Linked DNA regions of Arabidopsis thaliana. The main gene of each other region encodes a partner of the protein of the gene in region 3 in a complex. Each region holds a gene or a part of one and is shown on either strand. Other genes may lie near its edges.

Region 1 (5,022 bases), on a different chromosome or scaffold from region 3:
ATTGGTCATAACCGGAAAGCGTTCAAGGATACTTTTAAGAGGTAATATCTCAACTAACTCTCTAACAAGACTACAAAAGAGAGCTGTAGAACTAACTATCTAGCAAGACTACATATCTATAGAAGAGAAAGACAGGTGAAGACATTAAAGCATGACCATTTAGCAAGGAGACACAGAGGTTTAAGAATGAAACAGCTCTTTGTTCAAATAGTCTAGGGTGGTGCATTAGAAGATTGATGCAATAGACAATAAGTATCACAACAGAGGCAATTCAAACAACCTAAACTTGAGAGTTACCAAAGGATGAATGAGTATGTACTCAACATAATCACAGAAACTCCAGTGAACCAGACTGTATAAAGTTATAAACATAGTAACGGTATCACATATGACATAACATCATGGAAAAAACTTTGGATGCAGATAAAGCTAACGCGAATCAAGTAAACCTGTAGTAAACCATGATTATATGGAGAAATTCATTTTAGCTAACTCTTTTTTCTCAAATACCCGATAACTGTGATAGAAGTAACAGAGCTACAGAGAAGACCTGAAGAACTGGGAAATCCAGGTATACCATATTCGCCCATGTATGCAATATGCTCTAAACAGAAAACTTGCATACTAAAACTTGAATGATTGAAACACTACGAAAAATGAAGTCTTTTAACTCTTAATCCATCCAAAACCACATTGTCAAAATACATTGATTACTCATCTACTGGCGAAACATCACGACCTATAGAATGCTAAAGACATATTGATTCCAACACATTTATAAGTTTTTTTTTTGTAGAAACTAACAAAGATGAAACCTCATTCTCATTCGAATTTAGGCTCTGCCACCACGAAATGGTATGCAATGACCATTATGAAGATGAAAATCCCCAGAAAATTGGCAAAGAAGCCGAGGTCTTGGTCGTCAAACATCTGTAACACCACACACAATTAACAATATGAGAAGCTTGGTATCAGACTTAGACAAAACTTGTTAAAAATCACCCACCAATCTACACTTTCAACATCATTTTCTATGAAGATGGAGCACATAGTCCAACACAATTAGGTTCATACGTCAGGAACAAGTTTCTTTACCAAAATCACTAAAAGAAAATAACTTTGACGAAATCCAGACATGAGTATAACATCAAAAACATGGAATACACAAAAATAAAAATAAAAAATTGATTGAATCTCATAGCAGTAAATAAAGAAAGAGTTGCATCATCATCACATCTATAAGTAATTGATCATATGAAATAGATTCAAGCCTTAAGATCTACAAATTCGCTACCATCTGAGAATGACGTATCCAAGGTAAAGACCGAAAAAAACAAATCAAATCTCTGAGTGTTTTTACCTTTGGAGAGCTCAAAAGATACAGACTTCCTTCTTTGATTCTTCCCTCTATCGACTCTACGAAGCAGATCGAAAAAGAAGAAGAACTGAAGAATGACTCTGGTTAAAGAGGTGGTTGACTCAAAAACAAATCGTTTGGTAATATGGTAAACGACGTCGTTTTACTTCTCAAAAAAGGAAAAAAGAAAGTGTGGCTGCTGGGATTCGAGCCCAGGTCTCCACGGCCACAACGTGGAATTCTTACCACTAAACTACAGCCACTTTGTTGTACAGTCTATAATATTAATAATTATATTACAATATGTTTAATTGCTCGTCGTTGTCTCTTCCTTTCTTCTTCACTGCAATTGCTCGACGTTGTCGCTTCCTTTCTTCTTCATCATCCCCGACGAATAAGAGAACCAAATGGTCAAGCTTTGGATCGCCGATTCGTTCATCTGAAACCGGGTCTGGATCCGATGACCCGGTTGCATCTTTGATCCATGTGTTCCCTACCATGGATCCTGAGGTTCGTTAGATATTGTGTCGTAAAGTTTCCATTTTTGACTGATGAACAATGCTACTACAGTAATTGCTCTTTTCATATACTTTAAGTTCATCAATCTTCCATTTAAAAAGTGCTAAGTTATATTGATGTAGTTCCTTCATGAAATGAACTAGGTAACAGTTTTGTGTAGCTATTGATTGATATGTCTTCATCTACAGATTAACATTGTGATAACCAAAGCCAAAGCCCTGCATTGCAGAGAAACTTTGATGCAACATTAGCCTTTGTTACTTCTGTGTTGTGAAAAACTGAAAATTGGCGACAGTTTTGTGTAGCCATTGATTGCATAGAAACTTGATGCAACATTAGTCTTTGTTACTTTGTGACTTGTGTTATGAAAATTGGTGATCTTGGCTGTTATGTTTTGCTACAAAAGTCTTTGGGAGTTTATTGCTAATGTAGTCTTTGTTTTTTGGTGGGATCTTGAATTAGTTTGTCAGAGAGGTTATGAGCAACAAGAATTACGTGTTTGAAGAGGCAAAAGAGAGTTTAAGCTCAATTTTGTTCAATGGGGATTCTGATAGAACAGAAGCTGGCTTTTTTGATGGATCTGTGGAAAGTTGGAACGATGAGGATATGATCGATGGAGCTAAATGGGTTGATAGACTTGTATCCGAGATGACAAAAGCGATAAACATTGATGACATGAGGCGACGTGTTGCAGTGATCTTAGAAGCTTTAGAGAGTATCATAAAGAAGAACACCAACGCCTCGAAGAAGGTATAAATTGATGACATTGATAATGCTCAGGTTTTCTTGGGCCTAGATAATATAACAAATAGAGAGCTCCCAATTCATTGCAGCTTGAATATGCGTCGATGAAGGAGAGTCTACAGAGTTTGATCAATGATAACCAAATATTGAAGCGGGTCATTGCGAATCAACATCAGCGTAGCTCTGAAAACGAAGAGAAGGCCAAACAAGTACTGCATTTGAGAGGCGTGGTGGGGCAGTACCAAGAACAAGTTCATAAGCTAGAGGTATAACTAACTTGCCTACTAGAAATTCTCGGAATTATCAATCTTATAAATCAGCGGATTACTGATTTTCCCTTCGTTTTCGTTTGTGGATATCATTCATCAGCTTAGCAACTACGCCATGAAACTCCATCTTCAAAGGTCACAACAACAACAGACTTCTTTCTCAGGGAATTTGCCTCCAGACATCTACTAAAACTATATGATTGTTTACTACATAGTCATTTATAGTCATTAGGACCTTAAGAAGTATTATTAGTCAACTGAATTTCAAGTCATGCAAATTTTAATACTAAAGACTTTACTTGTATGGTTTGTTTGCAAATTGTTTTAGGGCAATTCTCATTAATAAAACAAAAATAATTTCTGTTTACAAATTTATAACCGAAGAAACCGCACAAGGATTAAACCAAACCTGTTATTTAAACCGGAGAATGTAGAAAACCAGGAAACGAGAACCAAAATACACAAGCTTTAAACCAAACTGGTTATCTAAACCGGATCAAGTTTTCCCCGCCAAAGCAATTTTCATTCCCATTGTTCCAAACAGTTTAAACCCTAAACTTTTCCCCAATTTTGCTCACTAAATCTCACGAATCTCTCCTCTCGAGAATCTCCTAGGGTTCCGATTATTTCTCAATTAAGATAGTATCCAGCTCGATGACGGAACCAAATCTCGACGAAGATGGTTCCAAGTCGTCTTTCCAGAAAACGGTGAGTGAGCTTCTTACTTCATCTCCTCGTATTTGATTCAATCAGTGTTCTAAATCCGCCTTTTTGTTCATCTGGGTTTTTCGAATAAAGGTGGTGCTGAGAGATTGGTGGTTGATAAAATGCCCAAAGGAATTCGAAGGGAAACAATTTGGTGTTGCTGGATTCGAAGAGTCCGTCGAGTAAGAGTGCTTTGGACTTTTCAGGTTTCTTTTTTTTTTATGAAACGATTTAGTTTTTGAATTCTTCGAATTTTGCCTTAATAGGACAAGAGCAATGCGTGTGTTTACATCTTCACCAATCACCAAAGCTTTGGATGTTTTCACACTCTTAGCATCTGATGGAATCTATATCACTCTCAGAGGTTTTCTTAACAAAGAACGCGTTCTTAAAAATGGATTTAACCCTGAGGTAATCTAAAGATTGCTTAACTTGTTGGAACTTGATCTATCTAAGAACTAAGGAAGAAGAACTGACTTTGATTTGTTCTTTCTCTTTTGTTCTGTGGTCTGGTCTTGGGAATAGATTTCTCGTGAATTCATCTTCGGGTTTCCTCCTTGTTGGGAACGAGTTTGTAACAGTTGCTTTGAAGGAGACTCTTTTGGCACTGATGTTAATACCGTCCCTTCGACTATCGAGAAAGGTTAGGTCTTGAAGCAATGTGTTTGTGTGTGTGTGTTTTTTTCTGATGCATCTATGTTTTATTGATATGTCCTTGTTTTATGATTTCTTAGCAGCTTGTCCTCCCATTTTATCACCTTGTAAGTACTCTAACAGGAATCTTAAGGATAATCCAGCTGAGAGCAGAGAGAAAAGCAATGTGACTGAGACTGATATTGCAGAGATTAATGATAAAGGTGGTTCTGGAGCAAGAGATATAAAAACTGCAAGGAGAAGGTCTCTTCATCTGCAAATAAAAAGGATACTTGAATCGAGTAAAGTCCGGAAGACTGCTAATGATGGAGATCATGGTAGTGAATTTTTGAATACGGCTAAGCGCGGTGATGTAGAAAGAGATGGATGTGAGGTTATCAATAATGAAGACAGTGAATGGAAACTCGATGAAAGTGAAGTCCAGAATCTTTGTAATGATGGAGATAATGGTAGTGAAGGTTTCATTAAGGCTAAGAGCAGTGATGTAGAAAAAGATAAGAGCGAAGCTATCGATAATGATGTGATATCTCCAGCGGTTGGAAGTGGTATTAAGCATACCGGTGCAGATAATGTTGATAAAGTGACAAGTGCAAGTGCTACTGGAGAATCACTTACTTCGGAACAGCAAAATGGTTTACTTGTAACAACAGCATCTCCACATTCCCTGCTTAAAGACTTAGCCAAGAGTAGCAAACCTGAAAAGAAAGGAATATCCAAGAAAAGTGGCAAGATCCTCAGAAGTGACGACAATGTAGTAGATCCCATGAATTACTC
Region 2 (5,399 bases), on a different chromosome or scaffold from region 3:
TGGGTCGGCAAAGAGCTTTCGAGAACGTTCACGAGTAAAGATCTCAGCCGTTGGATCTTATTTTTGCGCCATCTAATTACTATTGTTTCCTTTTTATTTTGTTATCGCTTCTAGCTCCTTCGAGATGGGTCTTTTTTAAATTGTCAAATAGTAACTCCCGTTTTGAAAACAAGTTATTTCATCACCCAATTAACATTTTTGTTTTTTTTGCACATTTTAAAGATAAAAAGGAAATTACTTTTTCTTTAGTCCTCAATTAATTACTAGTATTTCAATCGCGTTAATGAAATATATTATGAATTTATTATTGATTGGATATATATATGGGGAAAAAAATAGTTTGACCCAAATAAATGGTTTATTTACCAAATTAACTCATAAGATATAAGAGATAATCTAGTTATTTTTATGACCAAAATAACCAAAAAATTTACCCAATTTGACTCAAAACTTTGTAAAAATAACTAGAATGACTCAAAACTGAACTAGAATGACTCCTCGCTTTGGTGTTTGAGATTTTTTTTTGCTTAAAGAAAAAAATTCAAAGTTTCATCAAACATTCGAACAACATAATTGGAGGGAACATATATATGCACATGCATATAAAATTGAGAAGATGTGAAATGGATTAGGAACATCTTGAAAACATTATCATCTCAACAAAGACTGTTATTATCTCTTCTCAGTTTGAAACACAGATAATACTAGTATAAACTAAAAAGCCTTACATCATTCTAAAATATCATCACTCAAGTGGCTTCGTATTTGGGATCAGCAGTTACGTAGTGATAAGCAATTACCAATGCGAAGATGAAGATGCCAAGAAAGTTGGCAATAAACCCCAAGTCCTGATCATCGATCATCTGCACCAACCAACACAAACAATACTTGAGCAACAATTCTTTTTGTAGTAACAGACTAACAGTAATGGAATCAGTGTTGCCTTATTGTATCTAATCAGTTCAGCAAAATGTTCGAATAAGGATCCCATTAGAGTCTCTATCATCTTTGGCGCAGCCAGATTTCTACTAAACTTTTCAATTTCACCAAATACAAAGTCCACAGAAGAGACTACAAGGGTAACATTGCAAAGTTGACTCCAAAGTAGAGAAACCATAATGGCAAACAACAAGGAGCAGCTCCCTAAACTCAACTAGAGCCAGAGGCAGAGCCAGACCTAAATTCGCTTGATCACTGCTAAAAGAACGGATTGATAGTAATAATTAATAACCAACAAAAAAAAAGACCAAAAAAATGGGATGATCCCAGTGGGAATCGAACCCACGACCTTTAGATTCGGAGTCTAACGCGATATCCACTCCGCTATGGGATCACATTGGAGAACAAGTTGAGAATTTATGTAAAAACCTAAAACGTGACACAATCCGACAAGAGAATTTGGCAGTTCTCGTCGACAGAGACGGATTCAAAGGACCATCACACACAGATGGCCGCCACAGAGACAATCTCTATCGCGAGAAGAACAGCTAAGAGTCTAAGACTAACCAGATCATAAATCAAACACACTTGTCGTCGAATCAGAAGATCACTCAAGAAGAAATGCATATATATACATAGTTTTAAAATTGAGCGAGATTTACCGTTTTATCGGGACGGAATCGGTGGGAAAGGATGAGATCTCCAGACTCCAGGGACCAGAAGCGATTTGCAGAACAGAACAAGTATTGGATCTCACTCTCAGGGTTTCGATGTCTGAGGGTCTTTATTTTGCAGGCCTGGCCCAATAGTAGTATTTAATTACTTTTTAACAATTGATTTATCTGTGGATCAAATTGGTAATTGTATGTTTCTCTCTTGATTTTTTGTTTGTCAAATTGATTTTAACAACTGTAAACTTCAACTCCTTGTGGCTTCTCAGATCAGATAGTGGCAGCCAAAATAATGACAAGAATTTATATTACAAACGCACCGGTTAGGTTCAGTCACACTAATCACATAACCATTTTAAAAGCAAAACATTCGACACCCAAAAGGCCCAAAGCCTCTATCTCTAGTTCTCTACACAACACAATCCTCCTAATTGGTTTTGTTCCTGACTGTACAAAAGCAGAGCTCCAAGAAAAATAAAATTTCTAGAGCTGCAGCCTAGGTTCATGATTTGTTTTACACACACAGCTAAGAGAAAAAAAAGCTTCAGTTTGTTAGCCCAAAAAATGACATGCCGGCAATTATCAGAAACCAACCCACTGTTTCTGTAAGTTCCTTAAAGCCGCACCATTCCCGCAGAAAAAGGAGAAGGCGGGACCGAGTTATTTCACATTTCTGTTGATCCCTTCGGCAACTCTTTACTATCAACACCTTTCTTCAGAACCTTCAGATCTCAACCAAAATTCAGGAAGGATTTAATATCACAAGAGTGCAAGATAGCCAAAGTGATGTCACACACGTAGCCATATCTGAATTTTGACTTGCCGACTCCCCTGCTTGCTACTTTCAGCTACGAGTCCAGTATTCTATGAATTGTCATTTTCTTTCACTAAATTCTCTTCCATCTCTTTTCACGGCAGGAAGCGGATAATTAGGGTGGTGCTAAAGTAACTCTCTAAGATTCTCTGAAACTGATGAACTTACATAAGCCATATATAAGAAACTGGAGGCTTATGAGAGCCGCGAGTTCAGAGCTCGTTTGATAGCTGAAGTATACCACACATCTGCAGATATGGATTCTCTAGCAGTTTCTCATTATTGCTCTGCACAAAACAAGAATACAATCAATGTGGATCATTATTATACATGAAACAAAACAAAGAAAGCTCTTTGATTTTGAGGTTCTCTTTGATATTTCCGGTTCTACGCATCTACACCCTGAATTATGACGATAGCAATACCTGCTGAGCCTTAAAGACAAGCTTCTGAAGCATGTTTTGGTATTTCTCTGGTTCCTCCGTCATCATCCTCTGAAATAATCCAAATTTTAACCGGTGAGCCAAAAAATATTTGGAAACTTATTATTCTTTCAATGATGTCTTTCCAAAATCAAAATGGTGAATTTGAAAAATCCTCTTGCCTTCAGAAGAAATGCTGAAGAGTAATAAGCCACCCTTGAATCAGTATCATCCAGGAGTTCCCTGCATAGATAAACATAGGTTAATGCCATGAAACATGTTGCACAGATAAATCATAAATCATCTATGGTTTGGAAGCATGGAAAAGTCAATCAATTACCTAAAGAACTCCTCTCCGCCAACTTCTTGAAAAGCAACTGTATCGGCGGTGCATTTACCAATCAGAAGTAATAGCAGGGTGGCTCGAATATCAGAGGTTGCCCCTGGAATATTTCCTCTACCTTTGCTTCCAACGGCGACACCAAGTGCAATGTTGTCAGTTGCTGCACCTGCTAGTTGAATCAGTGGCCAATAAAACAAAGCTGCTGGCACACGCGCAACCAGCTGCATAGGAACAATGGCCTGTCCACGAAGAAGCATCGCTGCCATTGACGCTGTCTCACACGTTGAAACAGAGACGTTATTGTACCGAGGCTTGGTGTCACCTTCATCCACACTTTCTTTATAGCTGTTACGATGAGAAGTATCAAATTTGCTATTCCTATCCGCAGAATTGGGGACTGCATCCTCGTCAGTAGACAAAACTTTCAAGCACAATTGCGAGAAAAGAATGTCACACATCTGCTTGGAAACAACAGAGAAAGACACAAGTGAAATTTAACTTCATCTGGGTGAAAATTCCAATAAGAGGTATAGACAGAGTTATCTTCTACGCCAATTATTCGACATATAGAACAGCAGTTACTATATATATCAGCAAGCTTTAGAGTGGCTTTTGGTAGGATATTTGACAAACAGAAAGGTTCTAAGGAATGTACCTTTAAGATGTTAATCCGGTCAGTTTCATTTATTTGTGCCATCAAAGACAAAGCACTGCTCATTATGTCTATAACAGCATTTGCTTTCTCTAGTCGTTTGTCTTTATGGTCCTGAGTAGCAACTCCACCAGTTGATCGTTGGGTCTCATTCTCGTCTAGTAAGAACTTGGAGCGCATAAGTAGCCTCTCCAGAATAAATAGGAAACCCCATCTGATAACACTGTTCCTTGACTTCAAGAGTCCACATAGGAGATGTATGGAAATAGGTACATCAGAAGTAACCAGAGAGTCTGAGGTACCACAATGGGCAATCTTTTGTTGCAGATCTTTTATGCTCAGCCATATACTTCCACCGCTCTCTTCACTAATTTCTGCAATCAGAAGATCCCCCAACCAGATATACCCATTTTGACGGTATGTGGTCCTTTCTGAATGAAGAAGAGAGTGCAAAGTAGCCCAAGCTAGATTCACGGACATGCTTATATCGTTTCTTAAATCTAAAATGCTTTCCATGAACTTGGAAGATTTGGTAATCTGTTTGAGATGCAGGAACTCTTTGTCCAGGTGAGTAAACGAACCTATTATTGTGTCAAACTTTTCTGTTATATTTGCCAAAAGCTGCAAGAAGGAAAAATTAAAGAGTTGGAAAAGAGCTTTGACTGACAAGCAATTTAAGTTTTTTTTTCCAGATATCCTCAGAAGATCATTTGCAACATATTCTACAAGTTTAAACCTACCTGGTTAAGTCGTTCGCTGTTGCTGAACCCAGACAATGCTGCAGCAATTGATCTTCGCAGGATTTCTCCTATGCCTTCAACACCAAGCTTAACAGAAATGTAGAAAGCTTCAGGTGCATCAGCAAGAGCAAGCCGAACAGCCAAAGGTTGAATCTCATCATCAGTGTACTCAGAAAGACCAGCAGATGAGCATGCCTCATTAATTTGATGCAGCACATAGTCAAATAAAACCGAGTAGAGATTTCTTCTTTCCTCTCTAGTGGTTGCCAAAGAGTACTGTACCAATAAAATGAATCCCTTAATATGCTAGAAAACCATTGGGGATCGAAGTGTCTATTTGGATAATGTTTAGAAAGATCATTCAGTCTAATAAACTATATTTTCTTAGTACCTCAAAGAAAATGTATTCTACACCACCAATCAGATCGACCTGGTCGATAAGAAAATTTGAGGCACTTGAAATTGCTTTGTTAGAGCCTTCTGGTTCTGGAGATTGATAAAACATATTCGTCATGATACAAATAAGCTTGGAATGAACAACTTCTGACCAAGAATTCCTTTTGCTAGTTCCCAGAAGAGCTTTTATAACCTGATTCAAGGAAAGTAACTGGCTCATCAGCAAGTACAACTTGGCTGAGAAATGGTAACATGCAGCTGGAAACAGAAATCATAGTTACGAAGGTCTAAAAACAAAGAGAAAGGACAGATCCAAATGAAAATAGGAGGAGAATTAAAGAAGGAATAATCCACATAGCAGAGGGCAAAGATTATATTCAGCCTCGTAATACTAACGTACCCTTATGTCAAGACCATTTAGC
Region 3 (7,853 bases):
AAATTTCTTTCAATATAAAATACAATCATTGGTTTTTCTTACAACTTTAAATATGTAATTAATTAATATATATATATATATAAATCATGATATTTCATTAATATTATTTTATAATATTTCTTATAAAAATTGAAACGTCTTAAAAGCGTTTTAGATTTTGATTAAGCATTTAAACGCTTGATATGTCCTCAAGACACCTATCTTTTCTTAATAATATGTCAATTTTAAAAAGTGTGAATTTTTTAATTTGTTTATTAGAATGAATCTTTTCTTTTTATCGGTTATGTATGGAAAGATATTAATAAAATGACTACCATTTAGGTTTTCTTTTATAAACAAAGTTTTTTTGCTAATTAGAAATATATCGTATAGACAATGAAGATGGATCTAATATTTTGACTCAAAAGCATATATTTCTCTGAAATTTTTTCTTAAAAAGTGGTCTAATTTTGGGCTCACCAAGAGGGTTCACATAGCTAGTTGACAAAGTTTAAAAATAGGGTTTATACCTTAATATGGTATAGTCCCGTGAAGCAAAGATAGGATCGAATCTTAGACGTTCAAGGAAATTAACCACCATAGTGGTTAACTACATACTAGTCCAAAGGTCTTTTTATTTTTAAAAATTGGTTCAACTATGGTATAGTTTTCTTGTGTTTAATTATTTTTTTCGTTCACTAACTAACCAATATGGAAGTATATATGCAACGCAATCATAAGATTTGGTCCAACAACTTGAAAAACTATAGTAATCTGAAAAGGTGACGTGAAAAAACTAAAATAACTGATTTTACATACTCATATTTTCAAAGCACAATTATAGTTTTGAAAGTCTGCACTAAATCTATAGTAACTGCGTAATAGATGATCATACAAAGATCAGGATATAACTAATATCGTATAACTGAAGACAATTTTTTCTTTTAATGCAACAAAATATTGTGGGGCTTTTTCAAATGATTTGCTACCATTTGAAGAAAATAAGATCCACAAATCTAAAACAGACAAGAAAATGGGAAGTTCACGGATAAAGCTATCCGATCATTAGAAAACATAAATTCCAAATCATATGAATTTTTATTATTCACAGTTTTCAAATACATGCCTCTAAACATCTTTTCTTTTATGCTAGTTAACAAAAGACTTTGCTTTGTTTATCAATAATAATCAATAAAGTTGTCATTTATTGTTATATTAACCATAGCTAATTAGTGACTAATAATATATTCATAATCCATACAAGACGCAACAAAAACTTATATTGCTGTCAAATCAAATGATTAGCCTTGCTCTTTTCTATTTAGATTTTGAAAGCTATACATATTGAGATATTTGAGTTGTGGCCTTCACGTTTTCAAGATATATGTGTGTATAAATAATTTTTATGTATATGCAATCGTCATTGTCTTAAATTGTAATAACATACAATGTGACTGTGTGAGACAGGCTGTGTTTTTTTTTTATATAGGTTGAAAATTTGTGCTTAGTCACTTTCAAGACACCTCGTGCCTTTGGGTTAGTTCAATATCCTCGTCGAAAATGAATTTAGTTTTTAAATATTTATTTACCTAAATTTTACTAAATGAGTATTCTTTAAAAATTTGCAAACCTAAATTATGGTAGACTAGTGATTTTGTTTTGTTAGTCCAGAGTATATTTAAATGTTCGCCAAGAGCACTAATGAAATCTTATTAGATTAATTTCATATAAAGATGGAGAAGAGAGTTGTACCATCAGCAATTCTAAAGTTACTTCTCTTCTTCTCATTACACAAATTTATCTCTGAATCTATCTTGAAAGAAACCTTAAACACATGGGCTAATGGACTATTTTTATGATAATGATTGGGCTGCTCTAATAATAAGAAGCATACATACCAAATTTACTAGTGGTTAATTAAAATTAGAGTCGTAAATCCATTAAACATAGCAATATGTCGAAACCCGAACATGCGCCAGTCCAACTCAAACGAAGATCAATCTGACCCGAAATTGTCAAATGAGAGACCTAAAGAAATATGTAAGAAACGTGGATTAGCAAGACTTAGACCCATACACAACGTACAAATAAAACTCAAGGCCCAAGTCGAGAAGCCCCCAAAAACTTATTAGAAAAAGTGAAACACTCATATGGATTAAGCTCATTTTTTCTGTGTGGGCTAGAAATGGATCGAATGAGCTAACTAAGTCGAGATTGTCCAACTAAATTCAAAGACGAAAGAAAATTTCCATCAACCATTTGATTCGACAAAAGACAAATCATAGGTTACTTCACTTTCTCGAGTGAAATCTGAAACTTTTTCAATTTTGCGTGTGAGTGTGACATTTTTTTTTTTTTACCATAAACAAGTATAATCTGTTTTAACTGCTGAAGATTGTAAATTCATTTGATGAAAAAAAAATTAATTGCACAATAAACGCAAACAAACAATCAAAGTCATACTGATGTATCAGAGAGGCATGCTTTGCAATTTTCAAGTTGAAATGATCTCACAAAATGTGTGTACACAAATGAAAAGCCTATCAAGAAGAGACTTGGTTCCCACCTGCGCAAGCCTATGTCATGTCGAATGGCTAAACCTAATCCGAAACTCCATCTCTATCACAAATTTATACTTGAACCTAAATTTTACTTAGACTCATTCTAAAACAGAGAGCAAAACGAGAAGAGGACACAGTCAACGACAAAACATAAGGTCCCATAATGCTTAAACAGAAACACTATCCTCAATCACAAAGTCCCTTTTTCTGAATAGATGCAGTAAGCAAGGGGCGCAAGGCTGAAGACACATAGAAACTCTAAAAGTGTCAATGTACCAAATAACAACAATCCTAGACTGATCTCAAGAAACAGTACCTGAATTTCCAAATATGGTTCCTATATTCAATCGACTAAAGATCCCATATTCTTGGTTATATAAGTTACTCATTCAGATAAATAACTTAACAATGGACTAATGTAACAGTAAGGAGTTTTAAACCATCTGAAATAGTAGTACTACACCGATTCAAAAGTATTTCAAATCGAAACACAAAACATCCAGAAACATCATTACTCAATTCCCATAACTGTTTTTCCAAAACTAAAGCCATTACCTTGTGAAACAGAGATCCTCAAGTGTGATGTAATCAACGCCAACTCGATGGCCAATACGGATGAATTCCATATCCAGTCTTCCAGTTATCCAAGTAAACAACTTTCTTCACAGCCCAGAACGATATGAACAAAGCCAAAAGCATAATCAACCTTTGTGCAGTAATATTCTTCACTCGAACAAGCACATTGGTAACAAACGCCAAAAGCAATCCAACAACAGTATACAAGAATCCAACAGCAAATCCTTCAGCTCCAAGCTGCATTCCAGATCCTTGGTAGAAAAACACAAGCTTATTCGGATCGTTACGATCTTGAAGAAACATCGGCATTTTCCTGATAATGTTGTGCATTGTACCAGCAACACTAAAGAAGTAAATGAAGATAGCACCAGATAACCAAAGTCTAGTATCATGAAGAATAGTTTCTCCTTTCAAAACTCTTTTGATGATAAACGGAGTAGCGATAACGATCAACGCAACGATAATACCGATCTGTGGTTTCGAAAGTAGCGGTGGACGTTGAATAGGACCGACCTTGAGTTTAGTTCGTTGCTCAACAAACTCAGCCATTGATTCAGCTAATCTAGAGTAATCCGATTGATCCATTTGACCAGATTCATCACGTAGATTCGATATCGAAGGACTTACAAGACGAATGTGAGGTAAAGCGTTAACGCCAAAGAGCTGGAACGAAGATTGAGACTTCGAAAACTCGATCTCACAGAAGAAAAGCTTAGTTCCTTCAGATCCATTGTTGTTAGCGAGGAATGAAGCGGAGACGATGCCGAATTCGCGACGGAGCTCTTGAAGACGAAGCTCGTTTTTGCTGTGGAGTTGAGTAGCGTCGAAGAAGACGAGTAACGAGTAAGGACGAGGCGTGGAAGCGGAGGTTAGGAATTTTGAGATTCCATGGTCATCGAGATGGATTACGCCTGATTCGCTTGTTGATCTGAGAGATACAAGTTCGTTGAGAAGATCTGAATCGGAATCCGAATCGGAAAACGAAGCTGCGAATGTGGATGATAGTGTTGCTATGAGGAAGAGAAGAGAGACGAGTTTTGATTTGAGCGCCATTGTTGTTGATCTCTCGTTCTCTCAGATTCGAGAAGACGAAGAAAGTGAAGGAAAAGGGTATTTGCCGTTTACCGGAAAGCCTCTATCTGGAGAAGAAGGTCTCGAAGTTCTTGGTATCTCGCTGGTTGTACCACGTGGAACGTTTTTATTGGTTGATGTACCACGTGGATTATTACGATTCGTGGCATAAAATACCTGTGAGGCTATGAGTTTTGACGAGACATATCCGACTTTCCAAATCCAGAAAAGGAAAAAAAATATATTTAAACATAGATAAAAATTTCAACACCGATAAGTTTTCGTCGTAACTCTAACCCATTCGAATTGATTTAGGCGTTAGGGTTTCTTCATATTTCTCTCTCGGAAGAAGAAGATGGTTTGCGATAAGTGTAAGTCCATCAATAATCTTCTCTTTGAATTCCATATTCTAATTGAATCAATCTATACTTGGATCGGTTTTAATTCTAATTGAATCTATACTATTGGCGTTAGGATTTGTGATTCGTTTCGTTTCTAGCTTAATCGATTACATGTTTCAGGAAGAAATTTAATGATCTCTGATTCGATTTTGGTTTCTTAGATCGAAACCCTAGTTGTAGGATCTCTAATTTAGTTCAAAGTATGAACCTTTTGACTCAATTTGTTTTTATCTTTTAATTTTAGGTGAGAAGAAGTTATCGAAAGTGATAGTTCCTGATAAGTGGAAGGATGGTGCTCGTAATGTAACTGAAGGTGGTGGTCGTAAAATCAATGAGAATAAGCTTCTCTCCAAGAAGAATAGGTATGCATTTCTTATGTTTATCCATCTTCATTTTACTACTTTTCATTATTTGAATTGCAATATGGAAATAGTGATTAATTTGTAGCTTTGGGGATGTTTGTATCGTCTAGTTTGGTATTGGTTTTGTTTCCTGTAGTTTCTTCTAAGAAATATTGGTATTGTAGTTTCGTGTAGTGTCTTTTTTGAGTTGATCCCTCCAGGTTCTTCTAAAAATCATTAGTAATTATAGAATTTCTCATGGAAATAGCGATAAATTTTTTAAGTTTGGGATGTTTGTATTATCTGTTGAGTTGATTAGGCTACTGGACTCTTGCCATCTAGGGTGTAGAACTCCACCGCTTCGCTAGTCCTCTAGGTTTTAATAAGAATCATTAGTAAATGTACAACTTCTCATGGAACTAGCGATATTTGTAACTGTGAATGTTTGTGTTGTCTTTTTTGAGTTGAGTTATTAGTTTTGTTTACTCTTGTTCTGCTTCTAATTTTCTATTGTGATATTTCTTTGCCTTGTAGATGGTCACCTTACAGTACCTGTACCACAAAATGTATGATCTGCAAGCAGCAAGTGCATCAAGATGGTAAATACTGTCACACATGTGCCTATAGCAAAGGTAAATAGTTAATACATCTGTTTTACTCTACTAAATTCTTACCTCTGGTTGGATAGTGATATTATAGAGTAACTTAACAACTGATGGAATTGCCTCTTCGTGGTTGTGCAGGAGTGTGCGCAATGTGCGGGAAGCAAGTGTTGGACACCAAGATGTACAAGCAAAGCAATGTATAAACAAATCCGCAAGCGTTTCACATTTTAGTTTTTGTCCCTTTGATGTCAACGTTGTATCCTCTCACTCATGTATTTTTTTGTATCGGTTTCCTCCGGTTTTAATATAACCAAACAGAATCTTGTTGCTTCACTGTGTTTCTTGACTGATCATAAAGTTAATGTTTCGTTTTAGAACTCGAATTCAAGTATCAAAGATAGATTTGAACATTCCACGGAGCAAATTGGTTTTAAACAAAACTGAGTCAAAACTGGACCATGTCCATTGACAGACATGATTTCATCTTGTATATGACAAATTGAGATTTGGTTCCTGGTACCGTACAATTATACTAGTGTCTCTTCTTGTAACTGGTTCGTTCTTATAACATTAAAGTAGAGTGATAATGGTAAAAATGGTGTCTCTGAAACTCGAATTGTATTTTGTATCGTTGCATGGTAAGCGACAAGTGACCTATCTTCTCCGCTTCGATTCTTTACGCATTTCTGCAAAGTAATTCTCAAGATTCTGCTTCTCCCACAGCCTTTTCTGCACCAGATCTTCCTTCCTATATTCATCTGAAAAATATCGAATTTGCACAATAGATTTAATCACATTGTATTAGACATCAATCTTTATCAATATGTCGGTTCAGGTTGGAAATTAGAGAATAGAAGGATACCTAGATTAGCCCATGCGTCGGCAGGCACACTAAGTGATCTTCGGGTTAGGTATGATGCGTCTTCCCATGAATAAGGAGCTTTCTTGACCTTATATCTCCACACCCAACTGCTGTACCATACTAGAAGCTGGAAGATAACAGAATGTTGAATCAGCTATCTCGGGAAAGTAGGATATGGAGGAATCTGTGAAATGTGGCACAGTGAAAGTATTTTAAGAAAATGAAACCTTAATGATAGTGTATGGTAGGAGAATGAATCGAACACCGAGAAGTTCCCAGACCGATGGTTTTTCAGCTCCTTTGATTTGTAAGTCAAGTTCGTTGCTTAGCTCTTCCTGTAGTTTCCTGCCAAAACAATAAATGATTATGATTTATTCAGCGATACGACACATTCTCAGCTAATAAAAAGGCAATTTAAATAACTGGGGGTACATACTGGTCAATCTGCTTTGAACCCTTCTTCTTGTTACTTACTCCACCTGTGCGTTCGAGTTCTAATGCCTTGAGCTTATTTTTGTAAGCAGGTGTTCGCTTAACCGTCGCTATAGCCTGCATCACAACAATAATGCAAGATCTCATTAAGAAAATGAGCCGAGGTTTGTATAATTTCTAATTATAGGCTTTAAGAGTTTAAGCTACATAAAGTTCTCATAACAAAGTATATGAATCACATTCAAGAGGTCAAATTCTACGTTTCTTGAGATGCTATGATACATGTGATTAGGTATTGCACATACATGTGATTAGGTATTGCACATACATGTGATATATAGATGAGTAGTACTGATGCTTAAATATATAACAATATAGGTCTGGCATGCATCAGAAAAACGATACAGAACAACTACTTGAGACTATTAACACATAGTGAGAGAATCCCGATCTCTAATACGTACCTCATTATACCTTGCCACGTTGTTCAGATATTGAAATGCAGATAAAACCACCAATAGACCAACAAGAACAGCACGGGGATCCTAGAACACACATTAGGCAGTCGTAACATCAGTTAAAAAAGCCAATGGTTTTCCGAAAGAAAAGTCATCAGAAACATTCAATAACATCGTACCGATTTATGTCCATATTTCGCGCGGTAATATTGAGCGGTGTTGTAAAATACCTATATACAAAGAAACACAAAGCGGTACAGAATTTTTTTCAAAGATCTTTCACCTATGCAATGTACACAAAGTCACAAACCAAGAATAACAGTTGAGAATTCTCAGAATAATGGTCTACTAACCTCTTCTGGATGTTCAATTGCATAATCATATTGTGCCCGAGTAGTATTATCTTTCAAAATCTGCAACAAGACGAATCCTTTTGAGAAACTTTCATGTTCAATTATTCTCAGCTATAACAAAAAAACCATACACTATCAAATCTATCTCCCAATGTAATGATTCTCGATTCGCTAAAACTGGATCATACCTAAGAAATTATACGCAGAGATATAT

The links. Proteins that work in one complex are often made in the same cells at the same time.
Region 1: AT1G61790 (region 3) and AT5G02502 share a complex: the UniProt entries of both Arabidopsis thaliana proteins name them as parts of the oligosaccharyltransferase (OST) complex.
Region 2: AT1G61790 (region 3) and AT3G12587 share a complex: the UniProt entries of both Arabidopsis thaliana proteins name them as parts of the oligosaccharyltransferase (OST) complex.

What each region holds. Positions count from the first base shown.
Region 1 is NC_003076.8:557,782-562,803, forward strand, and holds AT5G02502 (Oligosaccaryltransferase), read right to left. Parts: upstream 1,455-5,022; 5' UTR 1,361-1,454; intron 931-1,360; coding exon 823-930; 3' UTR 504-822; downstream 1-503. Other genes in the region: AT5G02510 (UDP-glucose 6-dehydrogenase), read left to right, coding at 1,661-1,867, 2,339-2,626, 2,710-2,886, 2,990-3,079; AT5G02520 (dentin sialophosphoprotein-like protein), read left to right, coding at 3,544-3,597, 3,688-3,776, 3,861-4,005, 4,120-4,237, 4,329-5,022. UniProt on the Arabidopsis thaliana protein: Subunit of the oligosaccharyl transferase (OST) complex that catalyzes the initial transfer of a defined glycan (Glc(3)Man(9)GlcNAc(2) in eukaryotes) from the lipid carrier dolichol-pyrophosphate to an asparagine residue within an Asn-X-Ser/Thr consensus motif in nascent polypeptide chains, the first step in protein N-glycosylation.
Region 2 is NC_003074.8:3,993,837-3,999,235, forward strand, and holds AT3G12587 (Oligosaccaryltransferase), read right to left. Parts: upstream 1,836-5,399; 5' UTR 1,602-1,835; intron 1,334-1,601; exon of another isoform or gene 1,261-1,333; intron 864-1,260; coding exon 750-863; 3' UTR 504-749; downstream 1-503. Other genes in the region: AT3G12590 (uncharacterized protein), read right to left, coding at 2,637-2,711, 2,850-2,918, 3,029-3,089, 3,187-3,647, 3,845-4,462, 4,582-4,857, 4,973-5,170, 5,378-5,399. UniProt on the Arabidopsis thaliana protein: Subunit of the oligosaccharyl transferase (OST) complex that catalyzes the initial transfer of a defined glycan (Glc(3)Man(9)GlcNAc(2) in eukaryotes) from the lipid carrier dolichol-pyrophosphate to an asparagine residue within an Asn-X-Ser/Thr consensus motif in nascent polypeptide chains, the first step in protein N-glycosylation.
Region 3 is NC_003070.9:22,810,706-22,818,558, reverse strand, and holds AT1G61790 (Oligosaccharyltransferase complex/magnesium transporter family protein), read right to left. Parts: upstream 4,193-7,853; 5' UTR 4,170-4,192; coding exon 3,129-4,169; 3' UTR 3,096-3,128; exon of another isoform or gene 2,402-3,095; intron 2,008-2,401; 3' UTR 1,871-2,007; downstream 1-1,870. Other genes in the region: AT1G61780 (postsynaptic protein-like protein), read left to right, coding at 4,543-4,558, 4,833-4,950, 5,464-5,561, 5,673-5,737; AT1G61770 (Chaperone DnaJ-domain superfamily protein), read right to left, coding at 6,189-6,292, 6,397-6,523, 6,624-6,741, 6,833-6,945, 7,293-7,373, 7,466-7,516, 7,640-7,699. UniProt on the Arabidopsis thaliana protein: Subunit of the oligosaccharyl transferase (OST) complex that catalyzes the initial transfer of a defined glycan (Glc(3)Man(9)GlcNAc(2) in eukaryotes) from the lipid carrier dolichol-pyrophosphate to an asparagine residue within an Asn-X-Ser/Thr consensus motif in nascent polypeptide chains, the first step in protein N-glycosylation.